Schizosaccharomyces pombe: one gene and its partner. The main gene of each other region encodes a partner of the protein of the gene in region 2 in a complex. Each region holds a gene or a part of one and is shown on either strand. Other genes may lie near its edges.

Region 1 (3,214 bases), 790 kb from region 2:
TTGTTTATACAACAACTCTTATTCCCACCACCTTTTCAGCGCACCCAGAAGTACCGTCTTTTGATCAGCTGTTAGCAAACATCTGTTTTGTTTTTTGATAATTTATAATGCTTAATGATGAACAAGCGTAAAAGAGTGGAAGAGCTTGGAGAGACGAAACATCGTCAAGTACGACAGCGAATTCTCCAAGAACACAAGAACGATATACTTGAAAATTTAGCATTTGAACGTAAGTTTTTGTACCTGGAAGTAGTAAAGTGTTAACGGGTATTTTTCAGTTTCCGATAAAGTACGACGTTTGCGCTCAAACGCTAGTTTACTTGCTTCAACAATTCGTATGCGAGGAGAAATGCGTATCGCCGCTATTCCTCGCGCTCAACGAAATATGCATCTGCGCGATCTAAAGAACCATCTTTCCTGCAATGTGTCTGCCACACCGTGGAGAACGTAAGTGTAATATCAAATTTTACTTTGCCATACGTACTACTGGAAACACTAATTGCTAATTACTATTTCAGAAAAATAAAAGAATTTTATAATCTAGACGAGCTTTCCTCCCAAAAGTCCGCTAGACAACCTACAAAAACGGTGGCATCCTCCTCTTCTTCTTCATCAAAAAGCACCACCGTTTCCAAATCGAGTTCAAAGTCGCAAGTGTGAAACCCTCATCTACTGCTTACTGTGATAAAATTTCACTACTACAAAGTTGGTATTCATAAACACTTCGTAGGATTCATTATCATTATTTTTAAAGTACATCATCCACACGATACCGAAATATTCTCATGTGAAGTCCATTTATTTCCCACTTTACTTTTGATGAGTAACTCATTCTTCTTGGGAAACTTGAACAATTTTGCGCATTCTGTCCATCACCTCTCGAAATATAGGACGTATTTCGTTAATTTCCATTGCACCCAAATTATCCAAAGTTAGTTGAACTTCATTAATGGCTTCCAATCCCGTTCTTGCTTTACTTTGTCTAGCTTCTCGAATGTCCAGCAAAATCCTCCTGATATCCTCAACATCCTCGATATCATCAGCACAGAAGTTTAACAATAAATGCGCCGTTTCTAGCCACCGAAAAGGCAACTCTGAGAATGTCTCGTTTTCCAATTCATCATCTCGTATGTTTTCAAGTTTGCCTATTTCCATCCATTCCGGAGGTACAATCCTTGCCAAATTTTGCTTTTTTAGCTCAAGAGCCAACCATAAAGGAACCCGACATTTTTTGGGAGGCTTCATAATGGGAATCGTCGCGCTAACTAGCGGCAATTGATCCATTGTTTCTGAAGGAACAATGTTAATATACTCATTGCCAGCTAAAAATTCCATTTCCTCTGGTGAGAATGAAATTTCAAGTTCCCTTGGTAAGGCCATCTCTATCACCAACGAACAGTACAAAAATGCCTATCAATAGTACCGTTTTTGGGCTTAATGTCTTTTTTTATTTAAAGTTTTGTTTTTCTATTTTGGAGTTCGTTTATAGCATTTATTGGTTGTTATTCCTTACAGCATAATTTTTTGTGTGGTGGGTTTCGGACTCATAATAGTCACCCTCATCTAAATCACATCTTGCTCTTAGGTCATCGGTATATGATTGTCAAATTTTTATATTTCTCGTTTTAAGGTAATAATTTTGAATGCAAAAACCTTCATTGTCACAAGACCTTATTTGGATATTGAAATCAGTCCAATCTCGTAGGTCTACGAAAGGGTTTTTGCAAAAACATTCTTCGCTTAAGGATGGCTCTCCCAACAAGAAATCCTTCGCTCAGCCAATATCGAGTTCGTTTTTAAACAGAATTTCTATTACCAAAATTGATGATGTGGATTCTTTAAGTGATAATACCCTATATGGAATTGGTCGAAGTATAAATAGCCTGGCACGTTTAGGGATTCAATCAGTGATTGTTCCCACTTCCAATCCAATTGGCATGACATCTCCTTTTAAATATTTGGAGAATGGTACGGTCGTAGCGAAAAAACGTAAACTTTCAATCTTTGAGGAGCTACAGCAACAGCAAAATAGAGTCATTCGAGTTTCGGAAATTTTTTCGAAAGCGGGAGTGTTAACCCGTCCTAGCTACTCCTCTGTATGTCAATTGGGCCCTGAAGGCCCTAGTGTTGAGAATGTGCAAGGTATTTTTCAAGCGCTGTCTTCACTTTACACGGTCATAGTGCCAAGCTCGATTTTAATGCCCAACGTCATTGAGGTTCCAATTGATGGTAATGAGGTTCTTGCTGGTTTAACTTACTCGTTACACAAGCCAAACTTTGGGTTTTGGGTAGACCGAATCGTCATTCTTGATAAAAATGGTGGCATGCCATGTTCTAAACGACAAACTGGTTCTAGTCATGTTCTCATCAATCTGGCTCAAGAGTTTGACGAGTTAGCGAAAACACTTCCACCTTATCATAGAAAAAATTTGATTTTGGTAAGACGCTGTTTGAAAATGTTACCGGATGATGCCTCTGCTCTAATCACTACGCCTGAGGATGCTATGCTTACAAATCCTGTCTTAGACAAAAATCCGTTAATTCACAATGTTTTGACGGATCGCTCTATTATTTCATGTTCCTTGCCGCGCGATCGATCTCCTATTACGAAAACAACTGTTTTGCGTAGCGGTGTACCGGTATATACATTCCTAGGTCCGAAATGTCTAACTGATGGCTCCGTTTCGTGGGAAAGGCTTTGGGTTTTAATTAATGACTCCTTTAAGCGAACGCTTGATATGGACGCATATTTAGATAGGTTGAAGAATTCGCTAGCTGCAGTCATTATTGCAGGGGACTATTTAGGGACAGCCATTGTAACTTATGAACAACCAGATGGAACAACGAATGAAAAGGTCCCTTATCTTGATAAGCTTGCCGTCTCACAAGGAGCCCAGGGTTCAGCAGCAATATCTGATGTTATGTTTAATGTTATGACTGATTTATTTCCCAAAGAGTTGATATGGCGCTCTCGCCTGACTAATCCAGTCAATAAATGGTACTTTGAAAGAAGTGTAGGCTCCTTAAAGTCAAGCAAAACACCTTGGAAACTTTTCTGGACTGGAGACTCACATGTCAGAAATTTGGATCGAGTGAACCAGTATATGAGCGTTATTGATAAAATTCAGCCAACATGGTTGAATTGAGTGGAAGTTAACGATTGCACTTTATCAGAGACAAGATTATTTCGCTTCTTCAAAAGCACTTGTCAAAC
Region 2 (3,331 bases):
AGAAGACACATCTTTTCTTAAAAGCTCTAAGACATAGTTTGTTTTCAAATTGGAGTCAATAGACCCGCGTTTTAGTAAGGTGGACAAATTCTTTTTATCAAATGTAAACACTGAAACCTCTTCGTTGGTTCCCTTTTTGGATGCCGAATAAACAGTCCAAGGACCTACTTGGACTGAATTTTCTTTCTGGATATCATAATCATATTTAATTTTTTTGGAATTTGATACTAAACATTCAACGTTAGAATACTTACTTGGGATACGAAATGTATCTAAATAGATTATAGAAATGACGATGAGGATGATCAATTACATAAACATAACTACAATCTTTCATACAGCGCTGATAATCGAGTTTATCAAGGAATATAGCATACCTAGTCGAAGTGCATTGGCTAACATAAGCTGAAAAAGTGGATGGCTTTGGAAAAAAACAACTTAAAACAACAAAAACAAAAAGAAAAAATTATAATTATTTTTGAATCCCTTCGAAGCAAACCAAGTATAAAAATTGAACACCTTTTTTTCGCGGTAGTATACAGTGGAGATGGTAGGAATGAATGGCTTATGGATGAAATTTTTAGGGTCAGTTCAAAAAGCAGTGAAACTCTTATTTGGGAAACAGAGGATTAAATAAAAAGACAATTAATTAAAGATTATAAGAAAGTCGTATTTTTTAGTTTGATAATCATAACTTAGCCAAAAAACCTTGGGCAATGAGTCGTTCAACGTCTGTAGCACGCACATGCAATTGTGAATTTTTAGTAAGGTTAATAGTACCATATTCAGTTTCAATATCTCCAACGTCCTTCAAAACTCGGACGTCTATGAACAAATTTTTAGGAGGAACCAAAGAACCAGTCAAATCCAGCTCGGACCAAGCGCCTTTATAAGCAGCCAAAAGTTCTGAATATCTCGTTAAATAGTCACGCTCATAAGTACTTAGAGATGTATCTAAACAAGATTCCATTCGTTTGCCTCCGCTCCAACAGTATTGACGAAGCCGCTGCAGCCTTAAATTATGGTAAGCCATTAAACATCGCTTATTGTAGATACTAGAAGAATGAAACATCAATAGAGCTGCCGCTTCAGAAGGATGGTCCTGGGGCTGGAAAGGTTGACTAGCCTCATGTGTAACATTTTGAAGAATTCCTAGACTTTCGCGATCTGCTGCACGAATTTCGTTGACAACATCATTAACGGTGTCCGCTTGGTAAGGTGGGAGATAATCTAAATACTGAGTTCGCTTTGAGTCCCGAATTAATTTATTTGATCGATTCCCCAAACCATTCTCCATAGTGATTAGAAGCACTAACTATCACGATATGCTTAAACAGATTTTCCTAATTATGTTTAGTTTAAAAGAAACGGATTAGTATAATTAACAACGACACTCGATAGTTGTTTAAAGCTATATTGAATGGTTGTGGATGACAAGTCGTTGGAAAATGACATGTCTTTCATAAGACCATAATGATGCATTCCTTAGTAGAAATTTTACTGTAAATAAAACATGGATCTTTTATAACAAAATTATTAGTTGAACCTACTATGCGAATTTTTAAGAATTTATTATTTAAACATTCACACAGATTTAAAATGAAGCGTATACTTACTTGGATTACCTCAGTTTCATAAAGTAATGTATACTAATTCAAAGGATTGAATGAGCCCTAAAGGTATCATTAAACCGAGTTCCTCACATCGTCACACATGGAATGAAGAGATGATTTAACGAAGCTTCAAATTATCAACTTACAAATCATTGCTACTAAAATTATAGAAACCAGATAAAGTTTCATTTCAAAATAAAAGAAAGGATATCATTCAATGATTACAATTCTCACGTAATATTCAGAACACAGTACGATGTGCTTGCTTCATCGGACAGGGCTTTAAGGGAATAAAACAATCACATTGATGAGAAATTAGAATCTAAAGGGGTACAATTTAAAACCTATCACTCATATCCAAAAAATGGCAAGGCATATTTAGCTTCAAATAATTGAGCTTTAATGTAGCTTAAAATGATTTTGTCAGTAAGACTTTCTTTTCTGCTTACAACATAAAATCCAATCGATGTATTGGCCGTACTCAAAAAAATCCGCTTTATGTATAATCTGCGGAAGATTACACAAATTCAATAGCATGAATATCACAAAGAGCCAACGAACCAGTCCAGAGTAACAATCTGTTACAAAAACAAAACTTTTGATGCTTATTGATGATAGCAAAATACATGATCCAATATTTTCTCTTCAAATGATAGGTATAAGGACAGGGAAAGAGTCTCATACGTAAAGTAATAATATCTCAATTATTTTTTATTTCAAACGAAAGTTTCCCCTTTTTTTCCACTTAAGGAAAATTCCCTAAAATCCAACGACTTTTAATTAAAGGTTCATTAGAGATTAGTAATTATCATTACACGTATTATTTACATCGTTTTTCGATTAAAGCCAAACGATCAGAACCATGTTCTTCATATTCTTGACGTGATATCCATAATTGATGAAACGTTCCAAGACTACTTAAAATAGATCCACCTAACCATGAAGCATAACTGCGTTCAACAACATGACCGGAAGCATGGATTTTAAGACGGCTGCCAGGATATAATTTTGAAAGTTCATTTTGCAGACGAAGAGAGAATCCTTGCATCAAACTAGTGCCTCCACAAACAATAACATTGTTGAGCAAAGAAGCACGGATATCAACATCGCATTCCGAAATACAGTTCTGGAACAACTGAGGTATCCCCAAAATGCGAGAAGAAGTGTTGGTAACCGAAGAATCTTGTTGTGATACCTCATTATTTTCGGTTTGTTCTATTGGCTTCGAAGGTTCCTCGTTCATTTCTTCATCACTTCCTGGCACAAACAAATGTTCAGGAATTTGATAGCGTTCCGCGCCAAACATCATACGGGAACCGTCTGGAAATTCGAACTCTGATTCAGCAATCGTGGTTTCAGATGAAAATGGAACATCGGAAATGAGAGCACATTCTTCTTTCCATTCATCGTAGACTCGCTGGACCTGAAATTGATGATAAGAATCTGTAGTATCACGAGGACGTAACTCACAATTAGCTGGCTGCCCTATCTCCACTGGATTTTTGCTTTTCACTAAGTACTTAGGCATCACTTCGAAATTCTTATCCCTGAGAGTTTGCGCCAAAATATCGTTAATTGCATTCCCAGAAAAATGTTGAACCTGATAGCCTTTTTGAAGCACAAAACCATCATATATAGCAGACACCGAGCTACGCTCCGCACCAATGTCTACTAAACAAGCAGTACCTTTCCCGCTTGCAAACGCCGCACACGTCTCC

The links.
Region 1: psf1 (region 2) and psf2 share a complex: the UniProt entries of both Schizosaccharomyces pombe proteins name them as parts of the GINS complex.

The regions. Positions count from the first base shown.
Region 1 is NC_003423.3:1,227,648-1,230,861, forward strand, and holds psf2 (GINS complex subunit Psf2), read right to left. Parts: upstream 1,541-3,214; 5' UTR 1,381-1,540; coding exon 829-1,380; 3' UTR 661-828; coding exon of another isoform or gene 519-660; 3' UTR 501-518; downstream 1-500. Other genes in the region: nbl1 (borealin N terminal domain-containing protein), read left to right, coding at 115-229, 279-447, 519-660; acetylglutamate synthase Arg6, read left to right, coding at 1,644-3,146. UniProt on the Schizosaccharomyces pombe protein: The GINS complex plays an essential role in the initiation of DNA replication. Has a role in chromosome segregation and is required for bir1 localization.
Region 2 is NC_003423.3:2,013,466-2,016,796, reverse strand, and holds psf1 (GINS complex subunit Psf1), read right to left. Parts: upstream 1,436-3,331; 5' UTR 1,298-1,435; coding exon 689-1,297; 3' UTR 501-688; downstream 1-500. Other genes in the region: serine/threonine protein kinase Ppk32, read right to left, coding at 1-227, 378-402; alp5 (Ino80, NuA4 and Swr1 complex actin-like protein Arp4), read right to left, coding at 2,434-3,331. UniProt on the Schizosaccharomyces pombe protein: The GINS complex plays an essential role in the initiation of DNA replication.